Oryctolagus cuniculus: one gene and its partners. The protein of the gene in region 3 purifies or fractionates together with the protein of the main gene of each other region. This does not show direct contact. Links are inferred from orthologs where the notes say so. Each region holds a gene or a part of one and is shown on either strand. Other genes may lie near its edges. The genes, in order: TCP11L2, HAX1, tubulin alpha-1A chain, BAG2 and DNAJB11.

The links.
Region 1: the proteins of tubulin alpha-1A chain (region 3) and TCP11L2 purify together in Homo sapiens (affinity purification with mass spectrometry; 3 studies listed by BioGRID and IntAct, counting the BioPlex papers as one, with this or other methods). This does not show direct contact. The link is inferred for Oryctolagus cuniculus from reciprocal best matches to the Homo sapiens genes TUBA1A and TCP11L2.
Region 2: the proteins of tubulin alpha-1A chain (region 3) and HAX1 purify together in Homo sapiens (affinity purification with mass spectrometry; 3 studies listed by BioGRID and IntAct, with this or other methods). This does not show direct contact. The link is inferred for Oryctolagus cuniculus from reciprocal best matches to the Homo sapiens genes TUBA1A and HAX1.
Region 4: the proteins of tubulin alpha-1A chain (region 3) and BAG2 purify together in Homo sapiens (affinity purification with mass spectrometry; 4 studies listed by BioGRID and IntAct, with this or other methods). This does not show direct contact. The link is inferred for Oryctolagus cuniculus from reciprocal best matches to the Homo sapiens genes TUBA1A and BAG2.
Region 5: the proteins of tubulin alpha-1A chain (region 3) and DNAJB11 purify together in Homo sapiens (affinity purification with mass spectrometry; 3 studies listed by BioGRID and IntAct, counting the BioPlex papers as one, with this or other methods). This does not show direct contact. The link is inferred for Oryctolagus cuniculus from reciprocal best matches to the Homo sapiens genes TUBA1A and DNAJB11.

What each region holds. Positions count from the first base shown.
Region 1 is NC_091442.1:108,928,869-108,932,417, forward strand, and holds part of TCP11L2 (T-complex protein 11-like protein 2), read left to right. Parts: intron 1-132; coding exon 133-269; intron 270-3,549. UniProt on the Homo sapiens protein: Promotes the migration of muscle-derived satellite cells (MDSCs) during differentiation throught interaction with FMNL2 and therefore may participate in microfilament assembly.
Region 2 is NC_091438.1:44,123,497-44,127,635, reverse strand, and holds HAX1 (HCLS1-associated protein X-1), read left to right. Parts: upstream 1-1,322; 5' UTR 1,323-1,416; coding exon 1,417-1,469; intron 1,470-1,992; exon of another isoform or gene 1,993-2,030; coding exon 2,031-2,287; intron 2,288-2,434; coding exon 2,435-2,622; intron 2,623-3,001; coding exon 3,002-3,053; intron 3,054-3,178; coding exon 3,179-3,285; intron 3,286-3,414; coding exon 3,415-3,505; intron 3,506-3,644; coding exon 3,645-3,730; 3' UTR 3,731-3,897; downstream 3,898-4,139. UniProt on the Homo sapiens protein: Recruits the Arp2/3 complex to the cell cortex and regulates reorganization of the cortical actin cytoskeleton via its interaction with KCNC3 and the Arp2/3 complex. Slows down the rate of inactivation of KCNC3 channels. Promotes GNA13-mediated cell migration.
Region 3 is NC_091442.1:52,629,008-52,633,337, reverse strand, and holds the start of tubulin alpha-1A chain, read left to right. Parts: upstream 1-1,503; 5' UTR 1,504-1,730; coding exon 1,731-1,733; intron 1,734-2,271; exon of another isoform or gene 2,272-2,378; intron 2,379-3,472; coding exon 3,473-3,695; intron 3,696-3,835; coding exon 3,836-3,984; intron 3,985-4,291; coding exon 4,292-4,330. UniProt on the Homo sapiens protein: Tubulin is the major constituent of microtubules, a cylinder consisting of laterally associated linear protofilaments composed of alpha- and beta-tubulin heterodimers.
Region 4 is NC_091436.1:112,404,892-112,409,174, reverse strand, and holds the start of BAG2 (BAG family molecular chaperone regulator 2), read left to right. Parts: upstream 1-1,472; 5' UTR 1,473-1,634; coding exon 1,635-1,747; intron 1,748-4,283. UniProt on the Homo sapiens protein: Co-chaperone for HSP70 and HSC70 chaperone proteins. Acts as a nucleotide-exchange factor (NEF) promoting the release of ADP from the HSP70 and HSC70 proteins thereby triggering client/substrate protein release.
Region 5 is NC_091435.1:96,300,485-96,304,033, reverse strand, and holds part of DNAJB11 (dnaJ homolog subfamily B member 11), read right to left. Parts: intron 1,628-3,549; coding exon 1,485-1,627; intron 996-1,484; coding exon 913-995; intron 307-912; coding exon 249-306; intron 1-248. UniProt on the Homo sapiens protein: As a co-chaperone for HSPA5 it is required for proper folding, trafficking or degradation of proteins.

The DNA of each region.
Region 1 (3,549 bases), about 56 Mb from region 3:
TGAGTGACCTTGCCAAATGGCAATTGGAGTTTGGGGGATGTTTCCCTTTTCCAGCCTGTAACCTAGGTAATAGTTAATGAATTTTGGCTTAGCTCCTTAATCACCTCTCTATTTTCATTCTAAAATTTATAGACAAATATTTCATGTCCTGGACCTCATGAAAATGGACATGGCCAATTTTACAATTAGGAGCCTTAGACCACACCTTCAACGCCAGTTGGTGGAATATGAGAGAACCAAGTTCCAGGAAATTTTGGAAGAAACTCCAAGTGAGTATACTATAATGTGTATTTATATTGAAGTTGGGTGTCAATATGATACCTAGATAAAGAATTTTGACCTTGCTGTGAAACATCTTTTGACCTTATAAAATGACATAACAAATTTACAGTTGTTTTCTCTGTTCCAAGTATGTACTTAGTACTATTGACTTCTTCATTCATTCAAGAAATATTTACTGAGCACCTGCTATATTCCAGAAACTGCTTAGGTGGTACGGTTAATGTAGATAACAAAATGGAATAAAGTTGCATTCCCAAGGAGCTGAGATTCTAGTAGGCATGACTAATAAGCAAGCATATTTTCAAACGTATTAAGTTCTGTAAAGAAAAACAGCATAAGGACATCAACAGTAATAGCGTAGGAAAGAATTTAAGGGGTGACTTCTTGATGAGATACACTGGGGAGGCCTCTTTAATAAGGAACCCTTGAGCAAGGTTTGCAAAAACAGTGAGAAAGATTGTGTGAAAAATCTGAGAGAAGGAACATTCTAGCCAGAGGGAGCTACAAGTACAAAGACCTGAGGCAGAATCTTGCTTGTGAAGTTTGATAAATGCAAGACAGACACTGTGGCTGAAGCAGGGTAGGTAAGGGAAGAGTGATGGGAGATGAGGCTGGGAGGCAGACAGAGACAGGTCTCCTAGGCCCCTGATAATAACCAGAGGAGTAGATTTCAGTCCAAGTATGATGGAAAGTTATTGGAGAGTTCTAAGTTGGGAAGTGACATCTGATATTAATTTTTGAAAATACGGTCATGAGCCGCATGACATTTCAGCCAACAGACCCATACCTGATGGAGAGCCTGGCAGATTATCATGCAGTGATGTCATAGCCATCTTAGTTTGCATAAGTACATTTTCTGAGGTTTGTGCCTTACAGTGCATTTCTAGGAACAGTCCCAGGTGACCATACCAGGGCAGATAACAAATTGTTGAGAGCAAAGAGGGGAGCAGTTGCTCAGGCAGGAAATAGTGATGACATGTCCTAGGTGGTAGTGGTGGAAGAGTAGATTTGCTGGTGTTTAGTAAGGGGGAACAAAGAGGAGCTTGGAATACGTTTAAGGTTCTTGGTCTGGGCAACTGGGTGGATGGTGGTGTATTTTAGTGAGATGAGAGAGACAAGGGGGATGGGAAATGATGGAGGATAAGAAGTCAGTTTCAGATATATGATCTTTCAGATCTGGCTTGACATCAATGTGGAGATGGACATTGGCATTTATATAGAAGAAACTGGAGTGGAGAGGAATTGATGAACTATGGGTGTACAATTAGGAATCATCAATATGTTGTATACAAGGGATCTTCTAAAAATTCATGAAAATTATCTTTTAATTTCATTTTCCCACAGCTTTTTGAGGTACCCTTGTATAAAGCCATGGAACTAGATAGCTTATCACGGGCTAGGCACCTTACATGCATTAACTGATGTAACCCTTACACCACCAATGGGAAGTCTTCTCCCCCACTTTTATGGATGAGGAAGCTGTCGGCAGGAAGAGGTTAAATTACTTCCCTGCATAACATAGATTGTAAGACATGGAGTTGGGACTGAGCTCGGCAGCTGGCCCTGCAGTCCATGCCCTTATTTATCCCTGGATTATACTGGGTGACACAGCCTGGGCAGCGAGTGTAGATGTTGAAGGGGACTGGCCTGGGACACTCCAGCATCTGCAGGTTGAGATGAGGAGGAGGATGCAGCAATGGGGACTGTGAAGGAGTAGCCCGAGAAGGAGTATGGAGGTCAGGAGTCAGTGAGTCCTACAAGGCAAGTGAAGACATGTTTGAAGCAGGTGGATGTGAGAGGGGGTGGTAGGTGCTGTCAGGTGGTGAGGAAGGAGGAAGGCTAAGGCTTGACCATCCAATAGTAACCATGTGAAGACCGTTGGTAACCATGGGAGAGCAGTTTCAGTGGACTTGTGGGCCTGGAACCCAGACTGGAGGGAGGTCAGGGAAGAACGGAAGTAGAGGAAGTATAACCTCACTGTTACCAACTACCCGGTGAGCTAAGTGCAGTTATCCCCAGTGGGGGACTGAAGTGTCAGGTGTTGCATTGCCGGCAAGAGGCTCACTGGCAGAGCCTTGGCACCACAATTCATTAACCACATCCGAACAGAGTTACGTGATCCTCTGCCACCCCTCTATAGACTGAACTTTTCTGCCAAAATAGTGAACAAACCAAGTGCCACTTCAGACAGAGCTGTGGCAGGCAGGAGAGCATCCAGGGGAGAGGGCGTGGAGAGCCACACGAGGAATGGTCGCTGAAGCCGGCCGCGTTCCACTTGGTACCAAGGAGACTCAGGTGGGCCAGGCACCACCCCACCCATTGACAGAAGTGCAGACTTTGGTTAAGCTCTGTGGTGATGACCAGGATCCATAGGTAGGAAGCCCCAGCCAGCCTGACCTTCTTAACAGTTGGAGCTCTTTAAACTTTGGAATGGGCCTCTGTGTTGCCTCTATGTTGCTAGTACTGGAATGGGCCTCTATGTTGCTAGTGCTAGCTAACGTATCTGAGCATTTGTTACTTGCCAAGTCCTTACTGTGTGCCAAACAGTTAACATTATTACTTCATTTAGGCCTCACAGTAGCCCTGAGAGGTTGGTAGTATTATCACCCCCTATTTATAGATGAGGAAATGGAGGTTCGGGCACATACCCTAGGGGCCTACAAGCAAGTAGTAGAGCCTGGATGGCCCGTGTTGGCCTTTGCATCACAGCGTGTGCATTTACACAGTGTGCAGCACTGTCTGACCTCAAGCAACATTGCATCTGCCTGTGGGGGATATTCCATCTGCTAGTTCACTAGCCAAATGCCTGCAATGGTTGGGGCTGGACCAGGCTGAAGCTAGGTGCCTGAAACTCCGTCCAGATCTCCCATGTGGGTGGCAGGGGCCCAAATGCTTGGGCCATCTTCTGCTGCTTTCCCAGGTGCATTAGCAGGGAGCTGGAACAGAAGTGGAGCAGCAGGACTTGAAATGGCATGCATATTAGATGCCAGTGTTGCAGGCAAAGGCTTAACCTCCTGTACCACAATGCAGGCCCAAAGGCTCAGTGACTTCTAAGGATCCTTCCACAATTCTGTGACTTCAAGCACTCTGTGGTTTTTAGCTCTCAAGGGAAAGGGATTAAGAGAAATAGGACCCTATTAGAATGTGAAACCTGAACTGTAGCAAATGCATTCTTAACAGCATTTTTGTGAGACTGAAGTGGTTGGTTTCTTTTGTGTGCCTGTGCCTGTGCGTATGTTCTCAAAATGTGCCCTTGTCTTGAATCAA
Region 2 (4,139 bases), on a different chromosome or scaffold from region 3:
ACCCTGGTGGTGGATGGGTGAAGTGGGGAGGGGGGCCCCCAAATATATATCAGCCCAACAGCCCTAAGTCTCCTCCTTTATTATTAGGAAAACAAAACAACAACAAAATGGCGTCATGAATATGAACAGCATTGTCAGATGAAATTAGTTGAAGTGTTTTTTTTTTTTTTTTTGTACTGTGTCCTCGAATTTAATGGATTAATGTGTCTTGTATATATAAAAAGAAAACCTCTACCTTCAGCCTCTGCCCATTCTTGCTCCGTCTAGGACATCCTCAGTCTCGCCGGTGACCAGCTTGGTGAATAAGTATTACTGTACCAACTGGGCCGCCTCTGGCGGGCCCCGAAGGCAGTGGAATAAAATATCTTCGCCCTTTAAGAACTCTGACCTTAATGTGCTAGTATCTTGCCCCCTAAGAATCTCACAACCCGGTGACTGGAAAGAACCACCACAGATCTCCATTTCCTCAGAAACCGCTGCGTCGAAGGGAGAGGGGTGCAGGCGGCTGGCCGGGGGGCGGACCCAGGGGAGGAAGGGCGGCGCCCAGTCCGAGGACGACCTGGCCCAGCGCGGGAGCCGCCGCAGCGGCCGTGCCCACCCCTGAGACCAGCAGGTCCAGAGCGGGGCCCGCGGTGGGCACGAGAGCACCTGGAGAGACGCCTTCAAAAGTCAACGGCATGGAAACTTCCTTTCCGGGGCTCTTCGCTAACTTCCCTTCCCTTAGCTCTTAAACTTCAAGTCCTTTATCTTGCCGGCTGCAGAACTTTAGAACAAAGAACCCTGTATAGTTAGGACAAACTCCTAGGACCAGTAGCTGGAGAGAGGAAGCTCCCTTGCCCCCGTCTCTCCTCAACCCTGGAGAATGGTAAAGCATTTTGTCCTCTCAGACGTCATCCAGATCAGTGTGGAGACAAAGCGGAGGGCGCCACGGAGCCCAGGCAGCGTCTGCAGGCAGTGGGCCACCGCTGCCGTCCTCGGGCGTGGGGCGGCGGGGCGAGGAAGGGTCTCGGGCCGGTCCGTTACGCGCTCGGGCTGCCCTCTGGCGGCTTTTTCCGGGAGACCATCAGAGTCGAACTCTCGAAACCCCTGTTGGATCGGGTTGGTCGACAGTAAGGAAAATCGACTTAGGATGGCGGAGATCACTGGGAAGTGGAAATGCGCCGCGCCCGCTCCCCTTGCAGAAAACCGCTCTCCAAAAGGTTGGGTGAACACAGCTTTTCACGTTTCAGAACCCTCCGCCCCGCTTCCCCGCCCACATCCGGCTTACAGACGTTTTACGACAATTCGTCCGGATCGCGGGTTTGCTTTCCGGTAGCGTGGACGGACGCTCCGCTCGGTTTCCGACACCGTCGCGCAGGCCCCCTCCTGGGCTACGTGGGGGGGAGGGGGTTCAAAGGTTCAAGTCCCAACACGGGAATGAGCCTCTTTGACCTCTTCCGGGGCTTTTTCGGCTTTTCTGCACCTCGGAGGTGAGAGTAGGTCCGGGTCAGAGAAGGGAGAGGCTCTTCTCGGGGCTGCTTGACCCCGTCACCCTATTTCTTGGAAAGAAAAAAGAAAAACAACCTTTCCCCACCCTGCAACTTCTGCGGAGCGCAGGAGGTCGCAACCTTGAGCACTCACCCCGGGACAGTAATCAGGGCGGTCGTTAAGAGGCGGAGAAACAGTAACCTAAGTCTCTCCTACCTAGGGTGATGCAACAGGGACCTGGGCGGGGAAGACAATGGGGGCTTGGGGAAGAGGAAGTGAGCCAGGTCCTGGGGAGAGGGGAGGGGCTGGGGGGCGCTGAGGAGGCACGGGGGAAAGATGCCCTGAGGGGAGTTGCAAAGTCAGGACCGACGGATGAAAACAGGAAGAAAAGCCAGAGCTGTCCGCTGATAGATTTGGACCTGACAACTTGCTTTCCAGTGGCCCCGCCTCCCCCCCCCCCCCCCCCCAGCTTCCTAGACCCCGCTTTTGCGTACTTTGGTACTTTGATTTCATGGCTTAAAACAGTGCTGAAATCTTGGTGGCCGATCTGCCTCCGCCTTCAGCCACAGAGATCCCTTCTTTGGAGGGATGACTCGAGATGAAGATGAGGATGATGAAGAAGAGGAAGAAGCCACATGGGGCCATGGGAGCTCCAGGTTTCCTGGTTCCCAACCCCCGGAGGAATTTGGATTCAGCTTCAACTTCAGTCCGGGAGGAGGGATGCGTTTCCATGATAACTTCGGCTTTGATGACCTAGTCCGGGATTTCAATAGCATCTTCAGCGAGATGGGGGCCTGGACCTTGCCTTCCCATGCTCCCGGTGTGTGGACTTCCCGGAGGGAGAACCCGTGGTTTCTAGGGGGCTGGTGGGTGAGTGAGCTTGCAGGGAGTGGGAAATGCGAGAAGGCTGATGATTTCAGGGAGCTTAAAGAGCCCAGGCTCTTTCCCACCTGCACCCTTTCTGCAGAGCTTCCAGGTCCCGAGTCAGAGCCGGCTGGTGAGAGACCACGGCGGGGACAGACGCTTCGAGACTCAATGCTTAAGTACCCAGATAGCCACCAGCCCAGGATCTTTGGGGGGGCCGTGGAGAGTGATGCAGGAACTGAGTCTTCCAAACCAGCAGCAGACTGGGGCTCCCAGAGGCCTTTCCACAGGGTGAGTACCCACCCCGTGTGAGCCTGAAGCCACTAACAGCACAGAGACCAGGATCCTCCTCGGAATCCTATACATTTGAGTTGGAAGTCCAGGCCTTCCACTTAACTCTGCTGATTTTACGTTTCTTGTAGGATCTCATTGGAGGGAGGGAGGGGAATGGGAGTTCTGTTTCTTTAAAAAAGAAAAAAAAAAATCCACCGGTTTAGATGAGTGCTTGTCCTGGGAAGCTTTCTTGGTAGAAGGCCGTGGAGCAGTAGGTAGAGTTGTCGGGACCGCAGGTGCTCCTCCTGGGGGCGGGGGTGGGGGGGTCAGGACTTAGGAGTAGTTTGAGGCTTTCGCTTCGGAAGGTGTCTCTTCATCTGTGTGGCTTCTTCTGCAGTTTGATGATGTGTGGCCTGTGACTCCCCATCCCCGGGCCAGAGAGGACAACGGTGAGTCTGGAGAGAGGGCGCGTGTTCCGTCCCCCGTCCCCCGCTGCAGATCTGCCCTGCCACACTGGTCCTCTTTCTTCCCCTTGGACTCTGTCTCCTGGTTCTTAATCTCGGTGCCTTTCCAGATCTTGATTCCCAGGTTTCCCAGGAGGGTCTTGGCCCAGTTCTGCAGCCTCAGCCCAAATCCTATTTCAAGAGTATCTCTGTGACCAAGATCACTAAGCCAGACGGGGTGAGTGAGTGAGAGAGGGGAGTGAAAGGAAGCCAGCCAGCGAATGCCCTGGAAAGAGGGCTCTGTCAAAAGAGACCGCTGACTCGCCCTTAGTGATGTTGGCAACATGGCGGGGGCTTCTCCCTGCAGGCCGTGGAGGAACGCCGGACTGTGGTGGACAGTGAGGGCCGCTCGGAGACCACGGTGACCCGGCAGGAGGCAGACGGCAGTCCGAGAGGCGGTGAGTTAGGGGCACGGTTCAAGGGGGTCCGCCGTGTCACTGCCTGCGGAAGGGACGCATTCTCTGTGGTCTTTCGTATTCTCTCCCCTTGCCCCGTCCAGGCTCTTCAGTGGCTTACTGTATGATTTTTTTCCCTTAGATCCAGAATTACCGAGGTCTCCATCCCTGGATGATGCCTTTTCCATCCTGGATTTGTTCCTAGGACGTTGGTCCCGGTCCCGGTAGCCTTGTTACCCCTCAGGGGTCTCCAGGTCCCCCTGCACTGCCCACCATCAGCGAACTGGGCTGCTTCTCCTGCCCACTTCAGGGGCTTGGGTGTGTGCACCAGGAGGCTGGGGCAGGTCAGTGTGTCACCTGCCCAGACTGACCAATAAAACCTCTATTTATGCTAATTTCTTGTTCTTGGTTTTGTCAAGGCTGTTTTATTTCCCGGAACCATGCAGAGCTTCTCAGATTATCTTGACTCACAGCCTTCTCCTTATTTGATTTTTTTTCCCCATTTCCAAAACCTGATTTGATAAGGAAGGATCAGATACCAGCAGAAAATCATCTTCGTACGAGATGACATAATTTCAGGAACATTCCTTTAAAAAGGATGCATCAGATTCCAAAAAAAAAAGGGGGTGGGGGATGT
Region 3 (4,330 bases):
ATATATTTTATTGGCTAAAAGGATTGCAACAAGGTGATGTTGACTACTTTTACAATGAAATATGCAAGCAGTAGATAAAATGGCTTGTGTGTTAGGCTTCATTTTTTTCTAGAGAACTTACTGCAGCAAATCTGTGCAAGCAAAGCAGAGGTGTGGCTAGCGCAGTCCCACAGCCGCCATTGTCATCCCACAACCTGCAGTGCTGCCCACGCCCTGCTCTGCCCACCAGCCCGCAGCAGTGACTGGGCTCCACAGGGCGCTGTAGTAATGCAGCCCCCGAAAATCAGTTGCTGGAAATTGAAAGGAAAAACAGAAATTTCTATTTTTGATAGTCAAACAAATCTCTTTACCTCTGAAATGTCATCCACAATGGCAAGAGGTGCACAGCCCGGAGACCTATTTTGCATAGCCCATCCTTGATGAGAATGGAGCCGTTCCGAGCAGCAAACCATTTCCTAGGGGGGAAAGCAAAGCCTTTTTTGTCCCCAAGAGGCCTCTGGGCAGCCACCAGTCTCCAGCTGAATAGCAGCGGTGTGAGGCCGGCTAAGGTTCCCACAGTTAGGAGGGTGTGGACCCCATTCTTATAAGCACTATATAAAAATGGACTGCGGTTGAACTGAGACTGCAGAGTTGCCTGCAGATGGAGGCAACAATACAAAGTGGTCCTCTTTTTGCATCCTACATCTTTCTTGTCTTCTTTTTAATTTAGTGTTTTGGTTACTCTTTTTTGTTTGTAACTTTCCCAAAAGGCGAGCAATGCAGAAATATAATTGCACACACAAGGGATACCGGTTTCTGCAGTCAATTCTTTCTCCTTGTGTTTTCCCAATTCTGTATTGGGAACGATGATTCATTTCTACATCTCACAAAATATATTACAGAGTCTTTTGGCAAATGAGTATCTCTCATCAGCTAACCCTCATGTGTCCATTAGCTCTCACCGACTGCAATGCTAGAACCTTTTGTGTTCTTTTATGCGGTATGGCTATGCCTCCCATCACCCATTTTGTTGAGCTATTTGGGTGTCTGTGCCCAAAAGAAGATATGAAAATACATTAATTGAACCTGCAGAGCCTTTTTTTTTTTTTTTTGGATGACTGTATTACCGGGTCCTTTTCTAATTAAAATAAGAGAGAAAGGGAAAGCATATTTACTCAAACCATTTTGAGTATCGCTCCCGTCTTTCCCACTTTATTTTTAAAGCAATTCGAGATGCTGGTTCGTAACCAAATGTAGCTTAGTGTACTGTCAGGGGGCGATTCTTCACGAAGATTCCATCTCAACACAAATGCTACGATTGAAACCGTACCTAGGTGATTTTAGCTGCAGGTTGAGACTGAAGCGATAGAAAATGATCTAGCCGCAGTCCTCTTTCTTCCCTTCCGCCCCTCCCGAGAGCCCCACCCCGTAATGGATGCTGGGCTGCCGGCTTTGGCTCGGTCTCTTTGTCTGAAGGATGCAGTCTATGGATACTGGGGGAAAACGGGTGGGGGAGCGATTACCTCATCCCATGTCGCCTGCACCAATCAGCACTCTTCTGCCGCGGCTTCTCCGGGCAGAGAGAGGGGTCTGGACCAACAGGAAGAGGCCCCGGCCCATCCCCATGGCGACCGGGCTGTATATAGGCGGCCGCCACCGCCCGAGCCGCAGGTTCTCTTACATCGACCGCCTAAGAGTCGCGCTGTAAGAAGCAGCAGCCTCCCTCTCGGCCTCCGCGCGCAGCAGCAACCATGGTAAGCGCCGGCCCCCCAGGCGGCCCGGGGAGCCCTTTGTAGCCTTTTTTGTCCAGGGTGGCTTTGTTTGCTTTCGGTCCCTACGCCCTGCCGCTGCCGCAGTGCGGAGCCAGGGCCCGGCCGGGACGAACAAAGGCGACGCCAGGGAGTGTTTGTCGCCGAGGACTCCCCGGGGCCGCAGCTGCCCCTCCGGCGGGGCGGGAGGGTCCGCAGCCGGGCGGGGCGTGCGCTCCGCGCTCGTGGGGCTCCCCGGGGACCTGCAGCCCGGGGGCGCTGGGTGTAGCTGGGCGCGGAGAGGAGGACGGGAACCGAGGGAAGCCTCGGGTTGGCGCAAGACCCTTGCGTTCTAGAGAGACAGCCGTCTACTAGCGGCTGGGGCCGGGGCGGCGCAGGGGCGGGGTTGTTTGTTTCTGGCTTCCCCGGTGTTGGAGCCGCCGGACCGGGTTCGCCCTCGCTCAGCCTCCGCGGTCACGGGGAAGCCTTGAATAAAAGCCTTGCATCACCGCGGAACTGAAGACTTCAAAAGGGTTTTCATTACCTGCTAAAGCTCAGATGAAAAAAAATTGTTTTCTCGAGGCCCAGAATCCCAATTCACAAGCCCTTTAAAGTCTGGTCCAGCGTGGCCACGCCCTTGAGGGCTGCGGGGCCGGGCTGTGGGGGGGCGCAGGGTCCGCCCTGGGTGCCTGCTGGGCTGCGGTCGGGAACGCCTGCCCCGCCCCCGCCCCAGGGAGCAGACAATGAAAATTGCAGCCCTAAAAGTGACAATCTCTGTGGGATGAGGAGTAAGAATTTTATGTGGTGGGTAAAGAATTTCAGAAAGAAAACACTTTTTTGTTGCTTTAAATACATATTTCACTGTCCTTTCACTGGGCTTTTGTTCTTTGCTAGCTTCTCATATAACATTTCTTCCTAACTCGCAAACTGTTGTTTCAAAAATACTAACAATTTTTCAGTTTTTTACAGTGGAGGCGATTCTGTAAAAACTTAAAGTAACACAATTGCTGCAGACAAAGAATTACATTCTGCTCTCCAGCCGTCTTTTGTTCTAGGGTGTCTTCATTAATTCATTTCGATTCAGGAGCATGGTCCCAGGCTGGGTCAGGGGAAGAACTAGCAAAACAGCACAATGAGATCATATAGGCAGTTGCTGGAAATAGAGCTTGCTCTGTTAAATAATGTAGCAGACAGTACAGGCTAGCGCCAGGCACAGCAAATAACGGCAGTGCAGCAATGCAGAGGCAGACTTTTGTCTAGCTTCTAATAACTCCTAGTATTGATGGATCCTGCAGGCAGACTGCAGAAGGGTGTGGCTTGCAGCTGCAGTACAGATGCCTCTTGGAATCCTAAGTCCTCTGCAGAAGAAACTAATCTCCAGTTAAAGGGGGAAAAAAGCAGTAAAATGAATTCCAATCCATGATTGGATTGAATTTAATTTACTTCATTTTACAAAATCTGTGCTTTGAAGCCATAAAAAAATCTTCCATTCAAGCATGGCTCTGTGAACAATGGGCTTGCACCATGTGCTAAACTGTGCCAAGGCGACATTATTATTCAGACCACACCCATCTGCAGTATTTGTAGCAGGTGCTTTTCTTTCATCGTTTCTATCATATTAGGGATAAAACTGCAAATAAATTTGAGGAAGATCTAATTACTAGAAATACTTTTAGAAATTTGCTGAAAATTCAAAATGCTAATACAAAATAATTTATATATATTTTTCTCTTTCCCTCACACAGCGTGAGTGCATCTCCATCCACGTCGGCCAGGCTGGTGTCCAGATCGGCAATGCCTGCTGGGAGCTCTACTGCCTGGAACACGGCATCCAGCCCGATGGCCAGATGCCAAGTGACAAGACCATTGGGGGAGGAGACGACTCCTTCAACACCTTCTTCAGTGAGACGGGCGCTGGCAAGCACGTGCCCAGGGCCGTGTTTGTAGACCTGGAGCCTACGGTCATTGGTGAGTTGGCCTCCGTGGCCTCAGTGAGAGCCCCGGGTGCTGGGACAGGTCTGGGACAATTCTGTGAGGGGGGAGCCACTGGCACCCCGGGGCCCTGCAGGCTGTCAGTGACAGGTGGCTGGTCTGCTTCCCTCTTCCAGATGAAGTTCGCACCGGCACCTACCGCCAGCTCTTCCACCCCGAGCAGCTCATCACAGGCAAGGAAGATGCTGCCAATAACTATGCCCGCGGGCACTACACCATTGGCAAGGAGATCATTGACCTCGTCCTGGACCGAATTCGCAAGCTGGTATGTTTCCTCTCAACAATAAAGTACATTAGTAAGTTAAGGGATGCTGTTTGGTTGAAACAGAATTGAAATTGAAAAAAGGTTTTTAAAAATTCAATTAAAACATGAACTATCTGATATCATTTTGTAAATACTGAGAATTTTTAAATGAAGAAATGTTGAGTAATTCCAAGGTCTTCGCTTTTTAAAAAGCATTTGTTAAAGTAAGATCTAAATTCTTAGAGATGTACGAAAAGTGAGACTATTTACTATGATTGTATCACAGACAACAAAGACTTAATCTTTTCTATTCCTCTCTTTTAAACAGGCTGACCAGTGCACGGGCCTGCAGGGCTTCTTGGTTTTC
Region 4 (4,283 bases), on a different chromosome or scaffold from region 3:
GTGAATGAGAAGTTCTCGAAGGGTGCTTGGTATACTCAGGGAAAAGCAAGAAGGCTAGTAGGTCTGAAGCAGCATGGGCTAGGAGAGTAATGATCAACTTTGAGGCTTTTCTAAGGACCTTGGCTTTTATGCTGATCTGAGGATCTACTGAAGGTTTCTGAGAGTAAGTGCTGTCATCCACCTTAATTAGGATTATTGCAGTTGAGAATACACATGAGAAGCAAGAGTGGAAGTATGAACCAAAGAGGGACGCTCAATGATCCAGGTGCAAGTTGACCAGGTTACGTGGACCTAGTGGAAATGGAGCTGAGGGAAGAATCTTGGACATACTGTGAAGGTAGCATTCATGTGATTACTGATGGACTGGATCTAGGACATGAGAGAAAGTCCAAGGTGAATCTAAAGTCTCTTGAGAGACATCAAGCCATTCACAAAATGTGTTGGGATATCGAGTTTAATGTTTGGCAAAAATATGTTTAATGAGATCGGTCAAATAACACCCTATACCAAAAGCTTACTAGTATTTAGAATGAGTACAGATGGAATTGGGATCCAGGCTTAAGAGTTCCCTCTCTGCTAAAGTATTTAAGTGGTGATGGTCACTGATGAAAGGTTGTGATTCAGCTTCAAAGCTGTTATTACCATTTCCATGCCTTCAGTTTTCATACTTGCAATACGAACATTCTTGTAACGTGAGCTATCCTGAGAGCGGAGCAAAGCACAATATTTTAAATACAGCGGCCCTGCTCCATCTTTTACTGATATTTACTGGATTTTTGTTGTTGTCGTTAACAGATTTAATACGTTGGGTGTGAAGTGACCATTACCAACTATTTAAAATACCAGAAAAAATTTTTGTAGGCATAAAAGTGAAATTCCCTTTCTTGGAATGTGTGGGAATTAAATTCACTTTGCTTCGCATCTGGAGCTAGACAGGCAAAGACGGGATAGCTGCTTCATTCTTTCTCAGTAGCGTCAGTGTGGTCCAGGCTGTTATTCTCAGAAAAGTGACTTGGTCAAGTACAGACTGCCGAGGAGGCGGTGTCCTTCTATGTCTTCTGCTTTGCAAAGGGACCTTTTCTCCCTGTCGGCAGAAACCTGAATGTTTTTTCGTTCTTGCTTTGAATTCTGGGTGCTGAAAGGAAGTAAACGAAACCATCGGTGAGCCATGCACCCACAGCCTGCCCACCGTGTGGTATGGTAACTCCGCATAGGGGGAGTTGGCTACTTTTATGCTGCACCAAGAGTCGGGGCTTGGGTGTTCGCTGGGTCTCCGCGCCGATTTCGGGTTGTTCCAGGAGCAGAGAGCAGCCGACTACGTTAGGTGCTCCCCTTTTTGGGTCCTCCCATCCCAGAGTCTCGGAGGCCTTAGCTCCTGAGGCCCACCCTCGAGCTTTTGCGGCCAGCTAGCCCCCTCCAGGCCCCGCCACCCCCAGCCCGCGCGCGCCGCGCCTGCCCTTCTTTGGCCACGCAGCCGCGGCGGAGTCGGCGCGTCCTCGCGAGCCGCCCCCGCGGGCGTCAGAGAGAGGCGGGCGCCCCGCGCGGTGACGGCGACGCCTGCGGCCCGGGAGCGCTCCACTCGCCACCGCGGGAGAGGCCGGTGACCTCTCGGCCGCCCCGCCTCAGAGGCTCAGATGGCTCAGGCGAAGATTAACGCCAAAGCCAACGAGGGGCGCTTCTGCCGCTCCTCCTCCATGGCCGACCGCTCCAGCCGCCTGCTGGAGAGTCTGGACCAGCTCGAGCTCAGGTGAGCGGCCGGCGGGCCGGCGAGGGGCACGCGGCGGGCTCGGGCGTCCTGCTCGCCGCGTGGGCGGCCGGCGGGCGGAGGCCCCGCCTGGGGCAAGCGGCGGCGAGAGAAGTTGCTTGTTGGGGTGGTGTGGATGGAGGCGGTGCGGTTTTGTGTCCTGGCAGGTTTTCCTCTCCTCGCTGAGAGAAAACGCGTTCCGTCCCAGCTAACCTGTGAGCACGTTATTGATGGACACGTGAACACACCTGTGTGTTTTAGCGAATACCCAGAGAAGATAAAAGTTAGGGTGATGGTAATGGAGATTATTTCCAGAACCTTCTCTGGGGTCCCAAAGATCTTTAAGCCCCCCCCCCCCAAGGTTGCGAGTTAAGGGAAAAAGATTAAAGTGTTCTCCCCACCCCACCCCACCCCCCGTGAAGTTTTCTTGTTCCAAAGCACTTCAGAGCAGAAAGGGGGGGGACCCCAGGAATGCATCTAAGAGCAAAAATTGTAGAGCAGTAGGCCAAGGGAGGGGCTGTAGGAGGAACAGTAACTGGGTCCTGTACCTCGTGGATTAAAGACATTATGGCTGCCTTTGCTCTCCTAAGCCCACATACTGTGTTCCAGTATTTATTTTCTTAATATTTATTACCTTACATAAAAGATGCTGCTGAGACCTTAAAAGTGCTAGTCACTGGCCCGAAAGCATGAAAAGATAGTCAACAGTTTTTCCTTTTTCCCTTGATGACAGTTTTAAGTAAGTAAGATAGTGATAGGCTTGTATAGAATGTCTAAGTAGTAATAAGTTTTGGAAATGGCTTTTTCCTTTAACAGTGTATAAAAACGTATATGTACTATCTATGAACATTTGTGTCTGAAGTTAGTGTCTGCGTTGTGGTTGTGTGCAGGTATAGTTAGGTGAAAATCTTGAGACACGCATAGCCCCCTGACACTGTACATAGGATTTGGTTCAGTAGTTTCTGCCAAGCTCTGAAGGCGCAAAGGAGTGTGGAAGCCCCAAAGTGTAAACAGTGCTGTATTGTGTGTCCTTCTCTCCCTCCATTAATATAGCAAAACATGAAGAAGTGTCTGTTTGCCCAGAAAAGATACCAGTAACCACAGTGTCTGCTAGTAAAAAAAGATTCGCTATTACTACTGGGAGGAAATCGCCAGAAAGTGTGAAATTCTCCACTCACAATTCCAGGGATGGCAACAGAGCCACCTGGGCCCTAAGCCAGGTACTGGGGTTCACTTAGGGTGCGACAAGTTGAAGAGAGAAGCAATGCTTCCTTATGGATTGCCACAGAATCAGCAAACCTGGGTTCAACACCCAGAGAAAGTGGAGTGAAACTACAGTGGCCTCAGCTACTCCAAGCCCCTCTAAGGAATGGGATTTCTTTTGTGTAGCAGCTTAGTAAGTACCTTAGACTTCTCTCCAGGCGTTCTCTACTAGCCTCTCTCCCCCAGTCAGAGAGAACAGGTTTTCTCTTATAGGAATGAGGAGCATGTTCCCCCTCCTTCCTTCCTTCCTTCCTTCCAATGACAAGCTGAGTCATTGTCCTCACATGTGGTAGGCACAAAAGCAGTCAAGTGCTCCTCTTCTAAAACAAGGCCTCTGATTTGGGGTATTACTGTATTTCTGATATTTGGTGAATGTCAAATGAATTCTGATTACTGCACATAAGTGATTAAATTACAAGTTGCTTAATTACCACTTGGGCTGAAGGAGGAAAGTCTGATTAATATGTGTGTTAATTGTTCATTTCAAGGGCTTCTCGAATAATTCTAGAGTTTTGTTTCTTCCTTTTAAAAAGAGTAATACTGAAAACTAAACAAGTGTTTCAGAAGGTTCGCAAAAATAGAGAAAAATGCTACTGCTGATCCTAACTGAAGTTTGGATGATACCATGCAGGCAATGTGCAGAGCATTGTACCAGTGAAAACTAGAATCGTGCCTAGAGGGAGGTCGAGTTTTCAAACATGAAATTCATATATAATTTATTCTCATCGTTTGAGGTCATATTAAGTAACACTAATAAAGTAGTTATGTTAGTAGAGTGAGGCATTTTAGCTTGTACTTAGAAGTATGCATGTACTGTTCTCTAATGCTAGTTTGATGTTTGGGAAGGAAACTTCTTCCCTCTGAAACCAAAAACAGGATTATACCCAGTGCTTGATGACCTGGAATATTTGGCCTTCCTGATGCTTAAAATGCTGTAAAATGTTTGGCAGTCTTCTTCAGTTTGTTTCTGATACTTGATTGTTACACAAGCCTTGCTTTTTTGACTGCATTTTGTCTCCAGATTGCGTCCCCAAAGAGGCAGTTCCTTTCTCTCCTGGTTTTCATGATTTCTGAATGGAATATAATTTTACATTTGTCAATAGCTCAAGCTACTCTGCTAATTATCTTTTTAGACATTTATCATTTATAAATAATACAGCTTACATGTCAGGCTCCATATCTGTGTGGAAATTACTGTAATCTGCACTCTACAGATGAGAAACTGAGGCTTAGAAACTAAAGACTCATCCAAGGTCATACCACCAGAGAGTAGTGT
Region 5 (3,549 bases), on a different chromosome or scaffold from region 3:
TTCTTGTTTGCTTCTCTTTTACAAGTCCTTACTTGTTCTATCAATTTTTTTCCTTAAGACATCTTTTGGACTTGTAAGTCCTAAGTAAATAATAAAGGGGGCTCAATCCTGGGGTCCAACCCCACATTTTCAGTACTGTTCAAGAGTTACAAAGACTAGTTCAGGGCACGGAACAGAGAAGAACACTGGATGCTCTGATGCCTGCGGAAAGCAGGGGCTAGAGAAGCCTCTGGAACTAGGTCACTTACTTGACAACCTTGATTCGGAACCGTAAGTCTCCAGGCTCCCCGTCCACATGAGGCTCGCCTAGTCAGAACAGATGACAGCATACCGTAAGTCACACAAGTCGAATACCACAAATCTATTTGGCAGCTGAGAGAATTCTTTTAAGCCACCACCTTGGCATTGATTCTGTCAAGTTTATCTGTGAAGGAAGTGTCTCTGCCTGGTTACAGCGTTTCAGATTACTAGTGAAGATAAGATCACTTTGTGCCTCAGGCATGGTAATAAATAACTTGACCTATTTCTCAAACAAAGAATGATTCATTGATGCCCTGAACCTGAAGTCTGAAAGCTTTTATCCTTTTAGAGTTTTAAATTTGAGCCCAAAGGTACAGTCTGGCAGCGAATCTTCTTTCACTGTCAAGTTAAAATTAATCCATAAAGGTCTGGACACTTTAAATTCTGGTGAAATTGAGGCCACCTGATAGTAACTTTTGGGCATGATATTTGAAGGACAAATAGTAATGACACCGCCTCAGGTGACTAACCGTGATGGTCAGAAAAGATTCTCCATGTGTGGTGAATTTTATATGCATTCACTACGAGGCCATTAGGATATGGGGTGAGACAAATATTCGTAAGTGGAGAGCAGAAAGTTATGATCATAAAACATCAGTATCAATATCCCACCTTCTCCAATAAAGGGGTACTCCATGCCATCTCTCACTCCAGGTTCTATTTCTACTTCCAGAGTTCGTTCTTCATTCACTAGTCTAAGACAAAGAGAATTTAAGAAGAAAAACAAAATGAAGATACAAATGAAAACCCAAGATACAGATAATTAAAGTGTTATCTATGTTATCAGGACTTTTTCTTGGAAGACTACAGTGTACCTCTCCTCTGCAAAGACCTCTGAAATCCACTTACACCTTCTAAATGTCCAAACTTAGGGCAGAACTACTATATAGTACACAAACACATAAGACTGCTCTGCTATGCAAGCAGGAAGAAAATGAAACCTCAGCACTTGGTAAGTCTACTCAGACATAGACAGCACTGCTTACTGTTTCAGAAACATTAAAGATACGCATATTCTGAAGAAACACTTCTGGAAAAAGTTAAAATGTCCATTCCTGCTCTATCCTTCGGTAGAACATGGTAAGGGGAGGGAGGAAGAGCTGGGGATGGACCACTGACGCCTCATTAGACAAAAGCGATTACTCGAGTGTTTCTTGGCGGAACCAAGAAGATGCTTCACTTACTTGACGTTAGGGCACTCATCGCAGACCACCTCCTGGGTCATCTGGAAGCGCCCTGGGCCCAGCTGGGTGGTCCGCATCTCTTGCCGACAGTTGCACTTCCGTTTGCCGGGAGCCTGCCTTGCCACAGGTTTGTTTCTAACTACCTAAGAAGTGCATAAACAACATCAGCTTCACTGTCTTTGGGGACCTCAGCCAACCAGGGCTCTGGCCACTGGCTGGACCTGGAGCTGCCCCTTCCCAGACAAGCCATCCCTCAGAGAGACCAAGAGCTCACAGGACTCCCTGGGGAGCACAAACAGGAATGAGGCAAACACATATTTAAATGACTCAAATTCTGAAGTTTGAGAGGTAAAGAGAGAGCGGAGTAGGGAAGAAGAGACCCAGAGTAAGGTTTATAATGTCAGCACTTGTGAGCCCGACTGCGGTAGTTACAGAATTACATCTGCTGAAATCGAGGCCTTGTAAAGCACAACCCCTGAAGAACAACCACAGCCTTCAGGGCTGGTGTGCGGCTGCCGTCTGATCCCAATGAAGACAGCTCCTTGTTCTAGGTAACCCGACCCTGGCCTGTTTTCCAGTGCTATCTCCATTCAGATACCTTAACACATAGCAAACACATAGCTGCCATCTCTTTGTAGCTGACTGCAATCAAACACTCTGATCTCTCGAGGTGTGTGAAATTAATATAGGGGCTAATGCTGTGGCATAGTGGATAAAGCTGCCGCCTGCAGGGTTGGAATCCCATATGGGCACCAGTTTGAGTCCCGGCTGCTCCATTTCCCATCCAGCTCTCTGATATGGCCTGGGAAAGCAGTAGAAGATGGCCCAAGCCCTTGGGCCCCTGCACCTGCGTGGGAGACCCAGAAGCTCCTGGCTCCTGGCTCGGATGGGCCCAACTCCAGCCATTGCAGCCATTTAGGGGGTAAACCAGCAGATGGAAGACATCTTTCTCTCTCTCTGCCTCTCTATAACTCTGCCTTTCAAATAATAATTTTTTTAAAAAAAGATATATATGTGAAGAAGTACATCCCTGTTTTTGCCTGTTTAATTAGTCAAACACCTAATCACGAGGTGCACGCATACTCACGCAGCAGCATGACACCAATGCTTGGAGCAGTCCCTTAAGGATTACCAGTGTATGAAAGCCCGGGTCAGCAGAATAAAGCCTAACAATGATAGGAATTAGAGCAAATACTTTACAGCACTTATTACATACCAAGCAATGCTCTAAAAACTTTTACATATTCACCTAATCTTCACGGCAACCTTGTGAGGTAGGTACTGTTATCTCCATTTTACAGACCAGGTGGCAGGTCCAAGGTCACATAACTAATACATGGCAGGACCACAGTTCCAAACAAAGCAGACTACTTGCAAAGTCCATGCTTCTAATCATACCCTATCTCTTAAGGTAATCGTTTCTTAAAACATTTTTAAATAGTAAGGGCATTCACATTTTTCCCATGATTATATTACAAAGGGGGGGGGGGCATTCACTGTAAAAAGTAATATACATGGGTATTTTAAAAAGTCCAGGGAAAAATGGAACTAAAAGTTAAGTTTTTTGCTGAAAAAAAATTTTTAAATTCAAGCATAGCTTTTTTCATAATATAAATTCTCCATGAACTTTTTAAGACCTTTTGTATGGATGGATGGCTTTAAAATATTTTATACCAGAATACACTTATCTTTTCATACAATTTTTCAGGAACTTTTAATTTTTTTTCTTTGAGAAGCAGACAGAGAGACAAAGAGCTAGAGAAAGGGAGGAAGATGGTGATAGAGACAGAAGAGAGAGGTCCCATCCACTGGTTCACTCCCCACAGTGGCCAGAACTGGGCCAAGCTGAAGACAGGAGCGGCCTTTCATGTGGGTGGCAGGAACTACCTGAGCCATCACTGCTGCCTCCCAGAGTCTGCATCAGGAAGAAGCTGGAATTAGGCAAAGAGCTGGGGCTCCAACTCAGGTACTGCTTTATGGGACATGAGTGTCTTAACCACTAGGCCAAACATCCACCCCTCCACAACTTTCTGAACTATTTTTGTATTTTGTGTATTAACAAAAA